6 linked regions of the Sus scrofa genome follow. The protein of the gene in region 3 interacts with the protein of the main gene of each other region in a pairwise test. Links are inferred from orthologs where the notes say so. Each region holds a gene or a part of one and is shown on either strand. Other genes may lie near its edges.

The links.
Region 1: the proteins of ATXN3 (region 3) and EWSR1 interact in binary tests that used the Homo sapiens proteins (3 or more experiments, as listed by UniProt). The link is inferred for Sus scrofa from reciprocal best matches to the Homo sapiens genes ATXN3 and EWSR1.
Region 2: the proteins of ATXN3 (region 3) and DNM2 interact in binary tests that used the Homo sapiens proteins (3 or more experiments, as listed by UniProt). The link is inferred for Sus scrofa from reciprocal best matches to the Homo sapiens genes ATXN3 and DNM2.
Region 4: the proteins of ATXN3 (region 3) and RAD23B interact in a two-hybrid assay, tested with the Homo sapiens proteins (2 studies listed by BioGRID and IntAct). The link is inferred for Sus scrofa from reciprocal best matches to the Homo sapiens genes ATXN3 and RAD23B.
Region 5: the proteins of ATXN3 (region 3) and C6H16orf70 interact in binary tests that used the Homo sapiens proteins (3 or more experiments, as listed by UniProt). The link is inferred for Sus scrofa from reciprocal best matches to the Homo sapiens genes ATXN3 and PHAF1.
Region 6: the proteins of ATXN3 (region 3) and TEX11 interact in binary tests that used the Homo sapiens proteins (3 or more experiments, as listed by UniProt). The link is inferred for Sus scrofa from reciprocal best matches to the Homo sapiens genes ATXN3 and TEX11.

Annotation. Positions count from the first base shown.
Region 1 is NC_010456.5:46,429,223-46,432,722, reverse strand, and holds part of EWSR1 (RNA-binding protein EWS), read right to left. Parts: intron 1,190-3,500; coding exon 1,152-1,189; intron 638-1,151; coding exon 605-637; intron 273-604; coding exon 154-272; intron 1-153. UniProt on the Homo sapiens protein: Binds to ssRNA containing the consensus sequence 5'-AGGUAA-3'. Might normally function as a transcriptional repressor. EWS-fusion-proteins (EFPS) may play a role in the tumorigenic process.
Region 2 is NC_010444.4:69,540,012-69,543,511, reverse strand, and holds part of DNM2 (dynamin-2), read right to left. Parts: intron 3,352-3,500; coding exon 3,284-3,351; intron 2,677-3,283; coding exon 2,538-2,676; intron 1,375-2,537; coding exon of another isoform or gene 1,236-1,374; intron 254-1,235; coding exon 167-253; intron 1-166. UniProt on the Homo sapiens protein: Catalyzes the hydrolysis of GTP and utilizes this energy to mediate vesicle scission at plasma membrane during endocytosis and filament remodeling at many actin structures during organization of the actin cytoskeleton.
Region 3 is NC_010449.5:113,625,273-113,628,772, forward strand, and holds part of ATXN3 (ataxin-3), read right to left. Parts: intron 3,150-3,500; coding exon 3,017-3,149; intron 2,673-3,016; coding exon 2,506-2,672; intron 166-2,505; coding exon 69-165; intron 1-68. UniProt on the Homo sapiens protein: Deubiquitinating enzyme involved in protein homeostasis maintenance, transcription, cytoskeleton regulation, myogenesis and degradation of misfolded chaperone substrates.
Region 4 is NC_010443.5:248,468,491-248,471,990, forward strand, and holds part of RAD23B (UV excision repair protein RAD23 homolog B), read left to right. Parts: intron 1-112; coding exon 113-381; intron 382-3,500. UniProt on the Homo sapiens protein: Multiubiquitin chain receptor involved in modulation of proteasomal degradation. Binds to polyubiquitin chains.
Region 5 is NC_010448.4:27,778,076-27,781,575, reverse strand, and holds part of C6H16orf70 (UPF0183 protein C16orf70 homolog), read right to left. Parts: intron 1,602-3,500; coding exon 1,522-1,601; intron 1,245-1,521; coding exon 1,150-1,244; intron 1-1,149. UniProt on the Homo sapiens protein: Plays a regulatory role in autophagic activity. In complex with BCAS3, associates with the autophagosome formation site during both non-selective and selective autophagy.
Region 6 is NC_010461.5:56,922,305-56,926,591, reverse strand, and holds the start of TEX11 (testis-expressed protein 11), read left to right. Parts: upstream 1-1,487; 5' UTR 1,488-1,503; coding exon 1,504-1,540; intron 1,541-4,287. UniProt on the Homo sapiens protein: Regulator of crossing-over during meiosis. Involved in initiation and/or maintenance of chromosome synapsis and formation of crossovers.

The sequences.
Region 1 (3,500 bases), on a different chromosome or scaffold from region 3:
TGACTTTTTTTGTTGTTACTGTTATTTTAAGGAGCAAATCACAATATGGATGGCCCAAAAGGAAAAGTCAAACAACTCCAGAAACTCAAGTCAATTCTTTTATATTCTGTGGCTGGAAGATCTGCCAGATCACAAGGTTATGCTTTTACTTACCTTCACAACTCCACACTGCTTAAAGAAGTCCGCCAGATCATCTAGAGTCACATTGTCATTTAATCCTTGCACATAAATTGCACTGTTGTCAGAGTCTTCATCTGGATCTACAGGCGGGCCTTCCAGAGAAAAGTAGACAGAAGGAGTTATTGCCCTGTATCACAGAGGTTTATTAACCAACTGGTCACTACTGCCCACTGGTATTCACCACAAAGCTAAGAGAACTACCAACCATACTAACAAGGATGCCGAGGAACTTTTGGTTTACTCTTTTTACTCTGCTGTTTTTTAAGGTTATTACGAGTAGTAACTCAAGATAAAGGAAGCCCCAAACCATCTCTGACAGCAAGAATATCACAATGATCTACCAGGCTGCTGAACTTAAACCTGCACTTACTTTTGTGCTATGTGTTTATAACGCACAATGTAATATTCAGGAATTCAAAATTACCTAAATCAAGATCTGGTCCTTCATCCATGGGTCCTGCCAACCAGGAAAGATCATATAAAATATTATTAGTGCACGTCTTGCAAGCTACAAACCTTACAAACACACATAACTATCTACTATACCACCATTTGATGGGGCTTCATTAAATTCAAAATGACCCGCACTGCTAAAATGGAGCAGTGCCCCTTTAACATCTGTGAAAGGTTTGCTAGGGTTTGCTTTTAAACCATTAACCAAATACACTCGCAATGCTTATGTGCCAAATTAGTGTTAAATTTAAATCAATTTTTTTCCTCCAAATAAACCAAATTTAAAAAAATGTACTCTCCCCCATATTACAGAAGCAGTTGCTCAATACTTCAAGTTACCCTTTGTTTTGTAACCATAGGTTAACCTTATTACCCCTAAGACAATGCCGGCAGTACCCATTAGTCTCTTTTGTATAGATCATTTTTAAACCGCTTATGAAACTAACAAAAAATTATAGTTTTCTAAAAACTGACTGTATTTTTTTTAACACTATCCATGGTAATACTCAAAAACTTACCACCAGGCTTATTGAAGCCACCTCGCTCTCCAGCGCTGCTGGGGGGATAAACGAAGAAATGAAGGCCTTTCCCTTTAAAAGCCAGTACCGCTCTGAGCCTTGGGGGGGCTCGTGGGGAAGAAGGGCACTGGCTAACACATCTCCAAACAATGCATCTCTCTCATCTTGTCACTATGCCTTTCTTCAGGGCAGCTTGCTCAAATTTCCTTTATATACAACCTTGCTTGTCTGATTGTACACACCAGTGTGGTTGGCTCCTTTCATTTCGGGGGCTGGTATTAATAGTGCAATACATGGCAAATTGGGGGAAAAATACATCCCAAACACCCACCCCATCAGCTGAAAAACAGGGAAAGCTTGGTGTGGAGAGGAGTAGCAAGCTGGGGCAACTGCTGTGATGAACCTTTCCATGTTCATAAAGGTGCACCCTCACCTCTCCCAAGGGAGAGCCAAGTGAGGCCCTGGGCTTCCTAACAAGTCACAGTATAATAAAGCAGGAGACACCACAGTAAAGGCCTACAACACACACCAGAGGACGCATCCAGCAGATCTTCAGCATAAAGCCATACACTTCAGGGCACTAATGGGTTTAACAATCGCTGTGAAAGGAGAATGTACAACAAATACCAAGGCTTCACAGACTGGGGGTGCAACTTTATAGACATTTCAGTTGAGAACAATGACAATGGCAGTATAAAATCACTGCCTTATGTATTTAAAGGAAGGGGGAAGAGATACGAATCGGGCCTTTTTGGTTTTTCTTTAAAATTAAGTAAAATTAAATAAAGGCAGCTCCTCAGTGGGAGGCCCTGAGCTTTTTTCTAACCAGTATTGCACCTTTAATACCTGAATATACAATTTCAAGCTGTTGCATGCAGCTTTGTTTCCTTTTTAAAAGTACACACCATAAAATGTTCTCTCTCTTTAAACACAAAAGTTTACACTTTAATGTTACACAATTCTAGAGTATTATACCTCCTCTGGTTCATTACCAAACAACAAGTATGCAGTTACCAAAGTTACAGAAGGATTCCATTTATACAATGAATACATTTTGTTAAAAATATTCTATGTATATTTTTCCTCTCCATATGGACACCGTGTCTAGTCCCACTTTTCATTATGCTGCCGGCTGAGTACTGAGTACGGGTACTTTTTAAGTATTGAAGTGTATACAAGGCTCTCACTTTGTAACCTGTAGCATATAAATGCGACAAAGCATGTTAAAAAGTTTCCACGTTTAACAGCCAATGAAAATATCAAAATACTGAGGCAATGAAAAAGGGCATGTTAACAACATTGAGTGCCTTACCTGCAGAAGACACTGAAAACCATCACCACACCACAATAAAAAAAGAGGAGAGGGGAAGGCCCTTGTCCTGCCCCAAAGGATCCAACCGACTGCTTCACAGTCTGTTGAAAAACCTATGGGGAAAGCCATGATTTTTTCTATGGCTTCAGGAAAGACTTCTCCACCCACAAGGAGGGAACCCCTCTACTAACAAAGTAGTAAAATTAGTAGAATTATTACTTCTGAAGAATTAAGATGAATAAACTTGAAATTGGTTTTGTAATCGAAAAACACTAAGAATTCTAGGTGATTGGAGACGTGATGATAGTAATTTCAAGTGTCTACATCTATTTAAAACATCCATAAAGAAGTGAAACCTTTATAATGGAATGACATTCTTCATTTAATCAAAAGATTAAATTTACTTTTTACTAAGTTATTCATAAATTTTTCCATGTTGTAAAATGACTGTTTCTTCCAATAAAGATTTCACCAGACTTTTTAAGTTATGCAGAATATGCAAAGCAGTATTTTAAGCCAGTGTTGTTCAACAGTAAACAGATTTGCCAATATAAGAATTAAAGATCAATTTTTTAATGTATTTAATTTTGAAGTAACGTTTCTTAAAAAAGAGAAATTCTAGTTCAGTTTTTCCTTGAATCAACAGCAGCACCAACTCCAATTTATACTTATGTTAACATTCTGCATAACTTTTAAACTATTTATATAGGGACAGAACACACACAGAACTAAGCCTTCTGGATTATGTTAACCAACATCATACCTCACCTTCATCAAAGTATAGACACCAGAAAGGGAAGAGGGGGATGGGACAAGGGAGGGGAAGGGCAGGCACAGGTAGCAGGTTATGTTACTGATCTAAACAAAGTTTTCTAAACCAGATTGTGCCATCAATCAAAATGGTCAAACCGATTTAGACTTCTCAAAATCTCCAATGGGGAGAGTGATTCTATAAGTACATACATTACTCTGCAAAAAGTTATTGGAATTTTCTGTGTACCAGGTGCACCTCAGGCCATGGGTTCAAGGCTTATGGG
Region 2 (3,500 bases), on a different chromosome or scaffold from region 3:
TGACAAAGGGGCACAAAGATGAGAGTTTGGAGGGGTAACAGAACTGCTTCGTATGTTGAGAGAGGTGGGGGTTACCCTGCTGTATGCGTTTGTCAAAACTCACAGAACTGCACAGCCAACATTTCCTGTATATGAATTGTACCTGAAGAAGACAAAAGGCCAGTACCTGGTCCTTGGTTCTCCCCTCCCGTTCCCGGATGTAAGTGGTGACGATTCGTTCCGTCTCCTCTCGCAGCCGGGGGTAGGAGCTGAGCTGGGGGGAAATCAGAGTGGCGGCATTGGCTGGGAGGCAACATGAGCCAAAGGGAAAAACATAGGGGTGGGGTGACAGGGGGTGGGCCCACCGAGTCCCCACCTGGCTCCTGTCTCACAGGCGCTCTGGCTGGGAGACCAGGAGGGGAAGGTGGGGGGACGGCGGGCTGGAGAGATGGAGAGGGTGCCCACGCACAAGCAGAAGTGCTTTTCGAGAATGCAATTCGAGGTGGAAAACGGCAGAGACAGCGGGTGATGGCTACCCCCCTCCTACGCAGCAGCTGGGTGAGAGCCAGGACAGTTTAATGAAAGCCGCTGGGCTACCAGGGCGGGGAGGGCGCAGGGCCCCTTCTAGGATGGAGGCAGCATCTGGGCCATCTACCTCAGAGGGACCCCCTTGAAGAAAATTCCCCATCACCTCACTTTGGGCTTCATTCCTCCAGACACCCTGGGGGCTCCCAGCCTGTGCAGTGGTAACCAAACCCAACACACAGAAGCCCACCTTCCACGGTTTGGGGAGAGGCCACGAATCAGGGAAAATTGAGCCAATGGTCAAAATCACCTGTGGGAAAACCTCTTAAAGGCCCCATGATGTAAGAACACACAGGTCTAAAAAAAAAAGAACACACAGGTCTTCGTGCTGGCAACGTGTTTCACCACACTGGTGACAGTTTGGAAACCCACTTTTCCAGGGATGGGCACGGGCCCTCACCCCTGTTGCTTGCTTAGTAAATGCATCTGGCCACAAAGGCTTTCTACCTCCATCCGAGGCCCAACCTGCAAAAGTGGAACCCATGCGCCATGGGACATGCCCTCCACACCATTACTGCCGAGGCAAAGCTGAGGTCACCAAGTACCACTGGCCCACGGAAGGGGGTTCCTGCCGAGGCAGAGTTTCCCAGATGCTCGGGGTTAAGACTAACAATGGGAAGAAGAAGGTGGGGGATGAGTACACAGGTGATAATAATGAAATCTTTGGTTACCTTCTCGGCACACTTTTTAATGACCGTGGCCAGTTCTGAAACCACGAGATCAACACACTTCAAACTTGGCTCTTTGAGTTTTACAATCTGTTTTTTCACAATGGCTTCAAAGGCCATGTCGGGGGTGAAGAGCCCCGTCCTGGGTCATGCGGAGGGCGGGATGAGGCAGAGAGACACCCAGGGGCAGTGCAGGCCACACACGCGGGACAGGAGACAGAGAGAGAAGAAACGAGAGTCAGCTGGTTAGTGACATGCACGGAGGAGCCTGTGCCCGCATTTGCCCCGGAAGCTGCTTTGGATCAAGAGGCGTCCTGGGTCTGAGGGGTGGGCATGGTCTGGGCTTTAATTACACAAGTGCCATGGGTCAGAGTGGGCATACCGAACAGGTATGGATATAGGGAGGCCTTGAATTTTCTTATATGTGACGATAATGTCCAAACCATCTGGGTTTCTTTCCCCTCCCTCTTCCAATCGAAGAAGCTTAAGAAGCAAATGTGGGCTTTTCCAGACTGAGTACAGAAGGATCAAAGCAGAAATTCTGGCCTTGGAAGGCTGACCCAGAGCTCTACGGCCATGGTGGATGTGCAAGCATAGACCGCCCGCTGGGAAGCACTTCAGCTGCTCGGCCAAAGCGTGCTGCCCTGGGAGCCAGGCCCGCGGGGAAGCTGGTATGTCCTGCCATGTGGAGGCAGTGGCCTGTGAACACTGGCACACAGGTGACTGTGACCTAGGGGAATCAGAGGACGGGCTGCCTAGGGGGACAACCCTGCCCCTGGGGCGGTGCTGGGGAGCTGGCAGAGGCCATTAGGGGCCAAGCCAGACAGAGCACTCATTATGCTGTTGGCATTCGGGCTTTCTCGGCGCCTCGGGGACAGAGAAGTGGCTGACTGGGGAGTGCTTAAAGCACCACACCTTTGTCAAGAAGGGGTGATGGGCAGGGAGGTGTAGGGAGCTTGGCCTCCAGGAGGTGACACAAGGTCCCTCTCTGCTACCCAGAAGACAGCAAAGCGACAGCGCGACGAAACCCCCATCCAATACATGCTAAGCTTGGTATCAAGGTCCCAGGGCGCCCTGCCCACCAGTCTGGAATCTGGAGGTCTGGCACCCCCGGTTGCACCCAGGCCGAAACGCGCCCGCCCCAGCCTCTGGGAAGAGGCCACGTTCTTGGACACCGAGGCAATCTGGGAAGGAGAGGTGAGGGGACCAGCAGGGCAAAGGCCAAGCAGCACTGGGAGCCTGATACCAAACCCCCGTAGCCCCGTTTCCACAAGGCCAGGAGTCACCCTGCCGAGGGTCCAATACCTTACTGGTACACTGCCTAACTGTATTGATTAGCTCCTGGATAACCAGGTCGACACATTTCAGACAGGGCTCTTTCAGCTTGACGACCTGCTTTTTCACAATGGCCTCGAATGCCAAGTCCGGGGTGAAGAGCCCGGTCCTAAAACCATCCGTACCCGGGGGCAGGGGAGATAAGTCAGAGAGAAACAAAGCACGGTCAGCAATTTCACAGGCACAGGCCGGTTCCCGAGAAAGCCAAGGTCACAGCAAGTCTGGGGGGGTCAGACGCTTGCATCCACTACCTGGAACCCCCCGGGGTGATCTGAGGACCCCTTGGCAACAAGAGACTGGAGGCCGGGAGCCATGATTTTTGCCGGAACAGGGTGGGGACCCAGGAGGCTCATGGGGCACCGGTGGGTTCCTGTAATAGTGACTCAGCTCCCTTCCATTCCCCGCCCCCCAGGGCAAATCTGCAGTGAGTTTTCTTACTTCCTGACCACAGTGACTGGGAGGTTTAACCAATGTTTAACCCAAGAGCAGTGGACAGCCCAAGGGGATACAAGAGATCCACACAGAACTACTCACATACACACTTGAGTGAACTTGGAGACCAGAGGGAGAGACTGACAGCTACTGCAAATCACTCTGGAGCCCTTTCCAGGTCTCACAATCAATCGGGGCACCCAGAGGTTTGGGGGGGCACTGACTGGCTGCAGGGTGGCACCATGGAAATGATGGGAACATGGTGACTCATGAATGGAACTTGCCTGACTCCATGGATGTTCTTAATGGCATAGCTGATCTCCCGTCTTAAGTCCTTCTCATCAAACTCCATCTGAGAACAGACAAACCAAACACATGCAAGGAGCTACCTAGGCACCCCCGACAATAGGTCTCTAGTGGGGGGAGTGTGATCTCCTGTGTCCTGTTTGCATTCACCTGGCAGAATATTTAACTGGTCAAAAATTTTTAAAAATATTAAAA
Region 3 (3,500 bases):
CACAAACAGACAAAATAGCCCAAGTAAACATTAAATATGCAATTTTAATATTGTACCAACTACTTTACTTTTCAAAGTAGGCTTCTCTTCTCTTCCGCAGCTCTTCTGAAGTAAGATGTGTACCTGATGTCTGTGGAATATCTTGAGATATGTTTCTGGAAGTACCTGTGAATAAAATGGGGAAAAAAAAAACAATTTTATTTACCAAGTCAAGCAGTGATATGTTTATATTTATGTGAAGAAGCTTTTTGAAAAATTGCCTTCCCCAAAATATTCTGCTACTATCTTGTAAATAGAAGAAAGGCTCTAAAGTCTCAGGGAAGATCTGGATAAGGTAGTTCCAATTTAACCTGTGTCCACTGCAACCAAAGCTCTTCCCAATCTGTGATGCAGCGGTAAGGATGGAGCCAAAGACCAACTCGGTAGGAAAAATCATTACCACCACAGCTGCACCTCTTTTTAAGGCTAGGGATTGAATCAGAGCTACAGCTGCAGGCCTACACCACAGCCACAGCAACACAGGATCTGAGCCACATCTGCGACCTACACTGTAGCTCATGGCAACAGTGGATCCGTGTGTGGCCAGGGATTGAACCCGGATTCTCATGGATACTAGTCAGGTTTGTTACTGCTGCGCCATAACAGGAGCTCCTATACTTTCAAAGGCATGGAATTTCTAGAAGTACCTTAAAGAGCATGATCATAAAACAAACCCATTCTCTGTATTCCTCTATGCTCAAACCTGTGGGTACTAAACACGTGAGGTATGTTACTGAATTACAGCACCAAGCAGCTATTCTGCACAATTGTGAAATAAAGTGGGAAGAAGAGCAAAGCACACAAAAAATGTCAAAAACTATTAAAGCTGTGTCTGTCCATCACTGAGCTAATCTAGGAGGGCTCTACCAATTTGAAATGGGCCTCCACACTGGATGGAATACTGTGAGGTGTGCCAGGAGGCATGGGCAGTTCAGGATAAAGTACAGCATAAAAAGGACTTCTTAGAGCTCCCGTCATGGCTCAGTGGAAACGAATCTGACTGGTATCCATGAGGACGCAGGTTTGATCCCTGGATGGGTTAAGGATCCGGCATTGCCATGAGTTGTGATGTAGGTTGCAGACAAGGCTCGGATCTGGTGTTGCTGTGGCTCTGGTATGGGCCAGTGGCTACAGCTCTGATTCAACCCCTAGCCTGGGAACCTCCATATGCTAGGGGTGTGGTCCTAAAGAGCCAAAAAAAAAAAAAAAAAAAAAAAAAAGGAGTTCTCCTGCGGTACAGCAGGTTAAGGTTCTGCTATTGCCACTTCAGTGGCTAGAACCATTACTGTGGCGTGAACTCGATTGTTGGCCTAGGAAATTCCACATATTCCACATGCCATGGGTTCAGTCCAAAAAAAAAAAAAAAAAAGAGTTCCCTTCGTGAGCAGCAGCAATGAATCCGAGTGCAGCTTCGCTTCGATCTCCGACCTCATTCAGTGGGTCGGGAATCAGGCATTGCCATGAGCTGTGGTGTAGGTCGCAGACAGGGTTCGGATCCCACATTGCTGTGGCCGTGGTTGTGGCCGGCAGCTGTAGCTCCAATTCTCAAACTTCCATATGCTGAGAGTGTGGCCGTAAAAAGGCAAAACACAAACAAACAAACAAAAAACCAAAAAACCCCAGAAACAAAAAAAAAAAGCATAAAAAGGATAATCTTCATATGAGCAGAAACTCAGTTTTATTTAGATATTTAAGGAATTCGATTGAGTAATTTCATTAGAAAGTAGAAGATAAATTCATAATAACTAGATAAAGACAAAACTCCTCAAAAAAGCAAACCCCTCACACTTTAAAAAAAGCCCCTCCGAGCAACGTCCCGGACATCGCCCTCCGCCTGGACTCCCCGGGGAGGATGGGCACTCTCAGCGGATGGGCGTAAACGGCTAAAATGTGGCCCCTCAAAGTGGGCTTAAGCTGTAAGTGGCACAGCCAGTAAGGGGTAGAGTTTTGTAAAACTGATTTATATTCTCTGCCCAGGCCTTTTTTCATGTCCTTAAGCACACATATTTCTTTTTCTTTTTTGGCTGCGCCCATGGTATATGGAAATTCCCAGGCCAGGGTTTGAACCTAAGCCACAACAGTGATCCAACCCGCTGCAGTGACAATGCTGCATCTTTAACCCCCTGCACCATAAGAGAATTCCTAATAGTATAGATTTGTAAAACAGCTGGTCTGGGTAAGGGTCCACTGACCTCACAATAACTAATCTGTTCATTATTGTGTTAGCACAGTATTATAACCAGATGGAATAACTAGAAATAAAAGTATAACCAGTCCTAATATAACACAGGTTGTAAAAGGTTACTTGCATTAAAAGAAATCTAAAAAATAACTGATTTGACCCAGCTATTGCTTCAGCAGGGTTTGTCAGAGAACTTCTGCCAAGAGTACATTAACTTCCAGAAGAACGAAGGATGGGCTGAATCGCTTCAACGACAAATAGAAGGCGCGGCAGAAGAGCCTTACCTTGCATACTGAGCTGAATAGCCCTGCGGAGATCTGCCTCTTCATCTTCCATGTCGATTTCCTGGCGACTTAGGGCCAGAGCCCGCTGCAAATCCTCCTCATCTTCGTCTAACATTCCCGACCCGTCATTTGCTTCTAAGACTCGTTCCAGATCGGTTTTCTGGACCCTAAAGAATAAAGGCACTAATAGTAACTGCAGACCAGTCTTCCATTTTAGATATAACATAAAGACACCTATACACCAAAGACTTTCATGTAAGTCAAAACTTACACATTTTCTGGCAGATAAGGTCTAATAATATACAGGTTGTATTGTGATGTGACTCTAGTTAGTACATTTAAGTAATTCAAAGTGTTGATCCAAGTTTAAATCAATAAACTTCACTAAAACATAAGGGTCTAAAAAAAAAATCGCCAATAATAAGAGGACCACACCTTCAATGTAAGCATGAAAATTTAATCCTTGTAATGAAACACTGTCATATATTCCACACTGCAGGCTTCATTTTACCTCTGTTCTTTTAATTGTGCTAATTCTTCTCCAATAAGTTTTGGTCGCTGCATCTGCTGGACCCTGATCATCTGCAGGAGTTGGTCAGCTTCACAGTCTGGCAGGTCACCCTTAACGACGAATATAGAATAACCTAAAGAAAAAGGCAAAAGCAAACTGAGACAGCTAGCAAGTGATTAAAAATTGATTAAAAATGACAGCAGACAGAGAGGCAGCACAGAAGAGTGGGAAGAACACAAACCAAGGAATCAGGAAGACCTGGGTGTAAATAATGATCCTTTGTTTTTTGGCCATGCCTGCATCCAGGGATCAAACCCGAGCTAGAGCCACAAACAATGACAACACCAGACCCCTAACCCACTGAAACACCAGGGACGTCCTCAAATAATGATTCTTACACTTACTAGTGGGTGATCCACTTAAAGGCCCTGAGCCTCACTTTCTTCATCTGAAAAATGGGAAGAGCCAGCTCACAGAATGACTA
Region 4 (3,500 bases), on a different chromosome or scaffold from region 3:
ATTTTCAAGTAACAAATTTGTATTAGTGTTACATTTGTTTGTAGCTTTCAGAGATCATGTCATAATGTAATATTTTGTCATAATGCATTATTTTACTTTGTAATATATTTAGCCCAAAGCAGTGACAACACCAGCACCGGCTACAACTCAGCAATCAAATTCTGCCACCACTACCACAGTTAGTTCCTCCACAGCACCAGCTGCGGCTCAGGCCCCAACCCCAGCCCCTGCTTTGGCTCCTACTCCCACTCCTGCATCCATCACCCCAGCATCAACGACAGCATCTTCTGAACCTGCACCTGCTAGTGCAACGAAACAAGAGAAACCTGCAGAAAAGCCAGCAGAAACACCAGTGGCTACTAGCCCAACATCAACTGACAGGTAAGAACTGGGTGTTAGGAAGTTGTATCTTGGAATATGTTCAGTATAAGAACTTCATGAATTTATTTTGATTGTTTTTTTTTTTTTTTTTTTTTTTTTTGGTCAAACTAACTTTCTGTCTACTATGTTAAACATTTTCTAAACTCTGAACTCCTGACTGACTAAAACATTATGCCTCTGTTTAAATTTCCATAATCTAGATTTATATACTCTGCATCATTTCCCCTGCCGCCCTCCCCCTGCCCCCTGGAGGGAAAAGAGAAAAAGGGTCAGAGTTGTTATTCATTTCATATACAAAAGTTAGGAAATGACCAAAAAAAGAAGTATATGAGTTCCCCTGTGCCTCAGTGGGTTAAGGATCCAGTGTTGTCACAGCAATAACATGTGTTCAGTCCCTGGCCTGGGAACTGCTGCATGCCACCAGTGTGGCCAAAAAAAGGAAAGAGGAATTATGACATTATATTATAGCTTGGCATAAATAACTTGACATCATCCCCCAGTCATTATTTATATTGATCTATATTATTTCTGACCATTGTCGTGTATATATATATATATATATATATATAAAATAAACATCCTTCTATGTCAGAATTTTTCCATCTGCTACATAGTTTTGTGTTTGGGGATGACATTTGTTAGATCTTAGGAAAGAAATTAATATCTTTGGATTTTCTTCTTCGTCTGTAAAATGTGGATATCAGCAGGACTTACTTCATGGAGTTGTTCTAAGGATTAAATAATAAGTATGAAAGATGTGAAGTAGCGCATGGCACACAGTAAATGCTGAGTATATTTTTTTGTGAACTTGTGTAGAAATTTATGTTTTTGCCCATGTAGCTCTTCAGAAACAAAAGAAAAAGTGCTGGGACATTTTGGGAACAAGAAATAAGTTCTTGTGGGAAGGTGGCAGTTAGGATTATTGAGTAATTTATGACAAAGATTTTTTCCCCCTAATGATAAATAAAATAACCAAAGCAAATGCTTCAGTTCTCCTGGCTGGAAATCGTACAGGGGAATCTCTTCTATCTGAGAGCATGAATTGTATTCTTTCCAGAGTGAGCTGGCACCGAAGCTGTTTGTGTTTTATGGCTTTGGTGTAGCACAGGACCTCAATGGCAGTAAAGTCCTGGAATCAGAACCAGACATAGTGGAAAACTATGCAGCAGTTGGAAACATGGACACAGAAGGATGTCTGTGATAAATACACCAATCAAAAAACTTCAGTCACGATCCTTCATTTTAGTGTTTTGCCTTTGAGTGAGGTTGCGTCAGCTTTGTTGAGAGGGGTTTGAGTCACCTGGTTCATTGCTCACTCAGGCCTCTTTTCAAGGAATTAATTGCCTAAGAGGAGAACACGGATTCAGGTGATAAAATATTTTCCCTGTGTCTGCCTGCTGCACTTTGCTTTAGGCATTCTGAGACACCATTGCCTAACTTGATACTTCTTGCAGGTACAGCTAGAAATGCACACAACACTAATTACCTAGGGGGAGACAACCCAGGGTCAGGTTATGCTATTACATCAAAAGGCTATTACATTTGTTCTGTGTCTGGGAGGGAACTTATAAATTTAGCAAATTGGTTTTCCAAATCATTTAAATATTGTAAACTTAATTAAATATGTCGAGTTGGTTCAGTATATCTTCTTTTCTTTAAGCTCCTGTTAAAAACCTCATATCATGAGAATTCCTGAATTGATCAATACCTTTTAATGTGCTAATAGCATCAATTCGGTTATCATCTCTTATTTCTTATTGAGGGTTCAGTTTTATTTACCTGTTCTCAAGCATCATGAACCTTTTCAGACCTATAGAGGTTGCATAAGGGAGTTGATGATCAGGAAAGCAGACTGCAGAGTTGCCTCCTTACTTGAGCTTTGTACACCATCCCTTTACTCTTATTCCCCAGAGTTATACACCTCAGAGAAGGATAGCACAGGAAGGGAAGGATGAAGGAAGCTCAGAAAACTAGCTGCTTAAATGTACCTTAGTCACTTCATTTGTGCTGTAAAACATTTAATGTCTTGTAAAGCACAGAACTCAATGAGACATGCCAATGTGAATTTGAGGAGTGTCAAGAAGTTTTTTTTACCACCTGGCCTGACATTTCATTGTTAGGGATTTGTTTCTCTAGGTCAGTTTTGTCTTTAAAAACCACCTATTACAATGCAGATTTCACTTGTTGATATCTGTGTTAGAGAAACTGCACTTTTTTGCACTAGGGCTGTATTGTTTGTAATTGAAGACAAATTGGAATCAACCTAAAGATCCACTAATAAGGGAATGGCTTGATTTTGTGATTTGTTCATATTGGGGAATTGTGCTATTATTCATAGTGTGGTAGTAAACAAACAGTATCAACATCACAGGGAGTTTGATGTTTGAAATTAATTCTTAGGCTCCCTAGAATTATCTGGGGTAGGTCCCAGAAGTCTGAATTTTAACAATCTCTCTTGGTGAATTCTTAAGCTTTCTAAAGTTTGAAGAGCTCTGATATCCAGTAATAGAAGGCAGTTAAAGTATGCAGTACATATTTCAAGGCTTTGTTACCAAGTGAAAAAAGCAGATTTGCAGAACAATACAGGCAGTAACCCTAAACCAAACAAAAGCCACATAACATCATTGCATATTTTCTGTGGTTAAGCATATTAATATGTAGAAAAACAGTAGCAGAGGGACAGCACACTAACTGATAAAGTGGTTTCCTCCGCGGACAGGGAAGGGAGAAGTATTGAGGCAAAAGAATCAAGATTGAAGAATGGTGGTTAAACATCATTTCAGTCTTATCTGTAATGTTTTAAAAGAAATTCTAAAACAAAGTGCAAAAATAGCACAAATTTTCTATAAAAGAACAGTAATGAAGGGGACTATTTCTGTGAGATAGAATTAATTATTAGTACTATACATGGTGATGATTACAACTTAGAATGGCTTTTGGAGTTCCCGTCATGGCGCAGTGGTTAACGAATCCGACTAGGAATCATGAGGTTGCGGGTTCGGTCCCTGCCCTTGCTCAGTGGGTTAATGATCCGGCATTGCCGTGAGCTGTGGTGTAGGTTGCAGACGCGGCTCGGATCCCACGTTGCTGTGGCTCTGGCGTAGGCCAATGGCTACAGC
Region 5 (3,500 bases), on a different chromosome or scaffold from region 3:
ACGGGAGGCCATGGGGCTCAGGCTCTGGCATTTCCCCAAAACTCATGGTCTTTAAGAACTGGTCAGGCCAAAGCACACAGTCCAAACTACCTCCAAGTAAAGTTCTTTTTTTTTTTTTAATTTTTAAAAATTTTCTTATTTTTATTTATCTTTTTTTCCCCTTTTTCGGGCCACACCTGAAGCATATGGAAGTTCCCAGCTAGGGGCTGAATAGGAGCTGCAGCTGCTGGCCTACACCACAGCCACAGCAACACCAGATTCAAGCTGCATCTGTAACCTACGCTGCAGCTTCTAGCAACACTGGATCCTTAACCCATTGAGTGAGGCCAGGGATCAAACCTGCATCCTCATGGACACTATGTCAAGTTCTTAACCTGCTGAGCCACAATGGGAATGCCAATCTTTTTTTTTTTTTTTTTTTTAAATGGCTGCATCGCAGCATATGGAGTTTCCAGGCCAGAGACTGACTCTGAGCCACTGCAACTGGATCCTTAACCCACTGCGCCACAGCAGGAACTCCCATGCAATTTCATCTTTAATTATTTCATAACTGTAAGGATGCTGATACCTAAGGATAAAATCTCTCAAATTATAAGACCATTAAGAAAAACTGGGGTATTTGGAGTTTTAAAGCACATGACATGGGAGTTCCATTATGGCTCAGTGGTAAGGAACCCAATTAGTATTCATGAGGACACGGGTTCAATCCCTGGCCTTGGTCAGTGGGTTAAGGATTGGTGTTGCTGTGAGCTGTGGTGTAGGTCGCAGACAAGGATTGGATCCTGAGTTGCTGTGGCTGTGGTGTAGGCTGGCAGATGAAGCTCTGATTTGACCCCTAGCCTGGGAACTTCCATATGCCACAAGTGAGGCCTTAAAAACAAAACAAACAAACAAAAAAGCACATGACATGGATATACTTCTGAAAAGTGGGGTCAAGCTCACTTTTTAGTTGGAAGCACCCTCTTTCTGGGAATGCCAGCTTTGGCTTTGTTCTGTCAACTTCACCCACTCCATCCCTTTGGCCCCTAAAGACCTCAGAATGAGGAAACCAAAGAAAGGGTATCTATCCAGCATCCTCCAACGGCACAGTCTGCTGACCTTTATCACCTGGGCACTAAGCAACAATATCAAGCAAAGAGAAGAGCTAACCTCGTACTTGGGAGCCTCAATCCATGAGTCTAGCTGAAAAGAGAAAGACAGTCCTCTGAAGTTGAGATGGAAGAGCTGCTCAGCAGAGTTGTACACTGTGGGAGTGAGAAGAAAATGACATGGATGAGTGGCATCAGAAGTTGCAAACACAAACCAGTCTGGCAGGAAGTAATGACTAGCAACACCTTCCTTGTGTCTCCTTTCTGAATTGACCTACTAGGAGAAAACAAGGGGCAGGTGCTTTCCTTCACAAGGACCAACCCCCACATCCTAGAGAAACGTGGCTTTGGGGGCTTGGGCTGGCACCATTTGCCAGGTTTATTAATGTGGGCTGCTACAGATGACCAGAGGAATCAGATGGACTTGGCTTACCTCCAGGATGGGTTGCACCAAAAGACTGGTCAATCTGCTCAATGGTGGGAGCTATGGCTTGAGAATTGAAATGCACGCCACTGAAAAACAAAGATACTTTTTAACACCAGGCTGTGCACGATGGGCTCACAGATCACTGGAGACGGTGGCTGGAAGACTTACTCTTAAAACACAGGTAGGTAAGCCTACAATTATACCAAAATAAAAGTTTAGCTATAGGATTTTCTTTTTTTTCTTTTTTCTTTTTGTCTTTTTGCCATTTCTTGGGCCGCTCCTGTGGCACATGGAGGTTCCCAGGCTAGGGGTCGAATCAGAGCTGTAGCCGCCGGCCTACGCCAGAGCCACAGCAACGTGGGATCCGAGCCGTGTCTGCAACGAACACCACAGATCACGGCAACGCCAGATCCTCAACCCACTGAACAAGGCCAGGGATCGAACCCACAACCTCATGGTTCCTAGTCGGATTCATTAACCACTGAGCCACGTCGGGAACTCCAGCTATAGGATTTTCTTTCTTTCTTTTTTTTTTTTTGCTTTTGAGGGCCATCCCTGGGGCATATGGAGGTTCCCAGGCTAGGGGTCTAATCAGGGCTACAGCTGCCAGTCTACACCACAGCCACAGCAATGCCAGATCCAACCTACACCATAGCTCACGGCAACGCCAGACCTTTAACCCACTGAGCGAGGCCAGCGAAGGAACCCGTGACCTCATGGTTCCTAGTTGGATTCATTTCTGCTGCACCATGATGGGAACTCCTAGCTATAGGATTTTTAAATAAGGGACAATTAATGAGGTCAGAAATAGTCAACTCTCCCAAGGATGATACAGAGAATTAGTCCCCTAGGTCCTCCTAAGAGGACTGTGGCCACCAGGCCCAGTTCAGAAGGAAATATATCTGGCTTCAGCCCCATGGCATTTGGACTTGGATCAAGAGTGGTCACAGAAATACACAGTGTGGGGACTTCCCATAGTGGCACAGTAGGTTAAGAATCTGACCGTAGTGGCTTGGGTCACTGAAGAAACACAGGTTTAATCCCCGTCCCGGTGCAAGTCGGTTAAGAATCCAGCATTGCCATAGCTGTGGTTTAAGTCACAGCTGCAGCGTGGATTCAGTCCCTGGCCTGGGAACTTCCATATGCTGCAGGTGTGGTCATTAAAAAAACAAAACAAAACAGTGAACAGTATTAAGGTGGTTTCCCAGGATGTCAACTAGTAGTTTAGCTACACCTTCTTAAAAAGGGATCAATGTCTTAAAAGAAGGGTAGAGGCAAGCAAGGCAGCTTGTCTTCCTAACAGGCAGAAGAGCCAGCACTCATGGACTTGGGGAACAGGTATGCAGATGGGAAGGAACGGATCCCAATCAAAGGAAAAACATCTTGGAGGGAGGTGGGCTTGGGAGCAAAGAGAGGCATATGATTTCAGATGATGAGTTCAAAGATAAGTCATTTTTAACTTTAAGGATATGGTTGATTATTATTATTTTGCTTCTTAGGGCGGCACTAGCAGCATATGATGGTTCCCAGGCTAGGGGTCGAACTGGAGCTAGAGCTGCTGGCCTAAGCCACAGCCACAGCAACAGGGGATCCAAGCTGCCTCTGCAACCTGTACTACAGCTCACTGCAACGCAGGATCCTTTACCCACTGAGTGAGACCAGGGATCGAACCCACAACCTCATGGTTTCTAGTTGGATTCCTTTCTACTATGCCACAACAGGAACTCGTTAAGGATAATGTCTAAAGGTTAAGTATAATTTTTTAAATATAATTTATAGAGCACCTGTTTTTAACCAAGCACTGTGCTATGTGCTTTACCAGCATTATCTCACGTAATCTTCCTAACCCAGCAACCACATTATTGGTTTTATTTCTCTGATGAGAAAACAAGCTCACAGAAATTAAGTGATTTTTCCAATTTCAGAGAGTAATAAAATGAAGCCATTACTCAAAGCCAGGGCAGCCTGATTCTAGACCCCTTGCT
Region 6 (4,287 bases), on a different chromosome or scaffold from region 3:
ATTGGTTATGCCCTCGCTGTGAACCTGCAAAAGGGGAGTCATTGGGTTGTTTCCTTCAGATATGACAAGGGTAGGGCAGTAGAAACACAAATTGGAACTACAGGGTTTTTCTGTTTCCTTCACTTGTGAAATTTCTTTTTTTCCTTTTCTTTTTTTTTTTAGGACCCTACCCCTGGCATATGGAGGTTCCCACGCTAGGGGTCAAAACAGAGCTCCAGCTGCCGGCCTACCCACACTCATAGCAACAGCAACCAGATCTGTGCCCTGTCTGCAACCTACATCACAGCTCCCAGAAATGGATCCCTAACCCACTGACTGAGACTAGGGATTGAACCCACAACCTCATGGATACTAGTAGGGTTTGTAACGTGCTGAGCCACAAGGGGACCTCCCAACTTATGACATTTCTGACTCTTTAATAACCAGTGGGCAACATTGTTTACTTTTCTTTCCCCCCTCGCTCCTCTCCTCCCTCTCTTCCTTCCTCTAACCCCTTCCTTTTTCTCCCATCCCCTTTTTTCTTTCAAAGCCTTTCTCTCCTCTTTCTCTAATTCTCCACACCTGCACACTTCTCACAACAATTGCGCTATGTTTCAGTGTTGCACTATACTCCCTCACTTTTAGTGATTTTCACCCCGGCCCTCTGAACTGCATCCCTAGAACTTAATGCCCGCACTGTGCCACCAGGAGGCTCAGACTCTCGATGGAGGGCAAAGGTCAATTGGGCGGTGCCTTTGATTGACGTCACTATGGGGGGAGGAGCTTTCCAAGCGTTAGTTACTGGCACTGCAGGGCCGTGGTCGGTCACAGAGAGCATTGTGCTGTCAGCGGTCCTGGCTGAGGTGAGTAGTCTTTGTAGGAGCGTCAGATGCAGGTTAGTTGGATGGGTTCTAACTAGCAAGAAGATGTGACCCGTTAGGTCAGCACCTTTTAAAGTGATCCTGAGGCGACAGTTTTGAACTATGGCGCTGACTCTCGGATGAAGGAAGGTGGGCGAAGGCAGGATTTTTGGACTTGGATGAAGTATGGGGGAGCGTTGCGGGATCACTGAAAACGGAATATGATAGATGCTGTAGTTTGGATTTGAAGGACCTAAAATCGGTTGAAGGCTGACGGTTGGTGACTGTGGGGGCGGGGAGCTGAGGCGCTAGGCAGGTCTGTGAGAGCGGGAAAAAGGAGTGTCAGTGATTGGTTGCTTTGAACGTATGGACCAGGCGGTCCAATCACAGGGTACCCCAAGTCCCGATTTTCGTGTTGCCGGGCAGATTGTCCTAAGAAGAGACTTGGGATGAAAATTTCCTCTAGCCCGGGTTCATGTGGCCGGGCAACCTGGTCCTGCCTCTCATAACTGCTTTTTTCTTGGGTTTTAAAATTTTCACAGCATTTTTTCTTTTGGTTAACAAGTAATAAGAAAAAATTGAAATTTATTGAGAAACTGGAAGATGAGTTACAGAATATTAAAGTATTTTCTTATTTCATAGGCCTGACCGAGAGATATTAAAAATGGACGATATTGATTTTCGTTTCATGGACTTTAAAGGTATATAGCTTATATATGGTAGAAAATGTCAATCTGTTTGCTGACTTATGTAAGATCTTCTAAATGAATTTCCTTGCCTAATTTTATCTTTCTGGAATATCTATAAAACCAGTTTTTCTCATTTTGGTACCAGAAAACAGGGTGGATGTTTAAGACGCTGGAGCCCTTTTATAAGTTAGTGTAGGGAAATAGAATTCATAATAATTCACAATTCATAGCTTATTTTCTTTGGATTTTTATGGCATGCAAAGTGACACTGGATTAATTTGACATAGAAATTTATTGTGTTAAAAATACATTAAAAATTACTGTTAGGTCCTGAAGTGCCTTTCCATAATCATCAGTAAAAAATAAATTAGGAGTTCCCTGGTAGCTCAGTGGGTTAAGGATCTGGCATTGTCACTGCTGTGGCTTGGGTTGCTGCTGTGGCACCCGTTCCATCCCTGGCCCTGGAACTTCTGCATGCCTTGGGCGTGGCCAAAATAAATTGAAGTATAGTTGATTTACAATGTTGTGTTAGTTTCAGATGTATAGTACAGTGGCTCATATATATGTAGTATATATATGTATATATATGTAGTATCTTAATTCTTTTGAAAATTAGTATTCTATGTATGAATTCTTAGTAAACAAAAGTTATTTGATTGACTAGAACACCAGATTCCTTAACCATGCCAGGTATGGGAGAGTTTATCACATTTCATTTTTTCTGGGGATATGATCAGATCTGATTTCATATAATAGTGAAATATGTTGTAACCAAGGTGGCTACAAATCTATGATTTCAGAAAGTTTAGGTCAATAGTTTGTTAGCACTTGTCATTTTGAAGCAATAACAAAGCCCACTACCAGCTACCTTAAATTTTAATTTAGGTTATAGTATCTTAAAAATATAAATATTAAATAGAGATTATGACTTTTAAGTATATTTTTTTTAGACATTGTGTTTAAATAAATATTTGAAGCACAGAGAAAAGGAGAATAATATAATGAATACCTATGTAACTACCACTGAGTTTTGTTGAATCTTAATAGTTTTCCATATGCTTCAGATGTTTTGCTGTTCCAAAGAACTTAAAAGATTAATGTACCTGTTTTTCGTCTTTTAAAATATTGCATAAATTGTATCATTTTGTATGATTTTTATTTCCCCTGCAACTTGTGTTTTTTGCTCAGTATTATGTTTTGGATATTTACCCATGTGGATATTTTAGTTCTAGTTCATTTATTTACACTATTGATTAGCACTATTACATTTAATGTGAGTGTACCACAATTTATCCAATCTACTTTGTTGGATGTATGAGTTGTTTCAAATATTTGCTATTACAAACAACAGCATGACAACTAACACTATTTTGGAGAGTTTATCAAGAGCTTTCAAACATTTTGACCACCACCTATGGCAAGGAAATGTATTTTACATCACAGTATATCAAAAGTTTAATGAAATCATTTTAACCTTATTACATGCAGTGCACTATGATGTGTAATATTCTATACCTTTTCATTTTAAAAAATGTTACTTATGACTCACTAAATTATTTCTTGAGCACCAGTGTGTGAGGCTCTAGGGCAGTGCTGACCAATTGAAATGTAATGCAAACATAAATAATTTTATATTTTCTAGTACCACTTTAAAAAAGGTTAAATAGGGGAGTTCCTGTCATGGCTCAGTGGTGAACGAATCCAACTAGGAACCATGAGGTTGTGGGTTCGATCCCTGGCCTTGCTCAGTGGGTTAAGGATCTGGCGTTGCCGTAAGCTGTGGTGTAAGTTGAAGACGTGACTTGGATCTGGCGTTGCTGTGGCTCTGGTATAGGCTGGTGGCTACAGCTCCGATTTGACCCCTAGCCTGGGAACCTCCATATGCCATGGGTGCAGCCCTAGAAAAGACAAAAAAAAAAAAAAAAAAAAAGACAAAAATAAAAAATAGAAAAGGTTAAATAGGGAATTTCCCAGTGGCCTAGTGGTTAAGGATCCGATTGTCACTGCTTTGGTGCAGATTGGATCCCTGGCCTGGGAACTTCCATATGTTGAGGGTGTGGCCAAAAAAAGGAAGAAAAAAATTAATTTTAATAATATAAATTATTTAGCTAAGTATGTCTAAAATGTTATAATTTCAATACGTAATCAATATAAAATTATTAATGAAATATTTTACATTATTTGTTTTCTTTCTGTACAAAGTCTTTTAAGTCCGATATGTGTTTTATCCATCTATTTATTTATTTTTATGGCCGCACGTGCAGCATATGGAAATTCTCAGGCTAGGGGTCAAATTGGAGCTGCAACTGAGGCCTACGCCACAGCCACAGCCATACCAGATCTGAGCAGCATCTGCAACCTGTGCTGTAGCTTGTGGTAATGCCAGATCCTTAACCCACTGAGTGGGGCCAGTAGGGCCAGGGATTGAACCCGCATCCTCATAGAGACTGTATCAGGTCCTTAACCAGCTGAGCCACAATGGGAACTTCTGATATGTATTTTATACTTAAAGCATATCTCATTTTGGACTTGCCATGTTTCTTTTTTTTGGTCTGTACCCTTGGCATATGGAAGTTCCCTGGCCAGGGATTGAATCCCAGCTGCAGCTATGACCTACACTGTAGCTGTGGCAATGCCAGATCCTTAACCCACTGCACCAGGCCTGAGGGCAAACCTGTGCTGCCACAGAGACAACACTGGGTTCTTAAACTGCTGTGCCACAGTGAGAACTCCTGGACTTGCTTTTTTGTTTTTTGTTT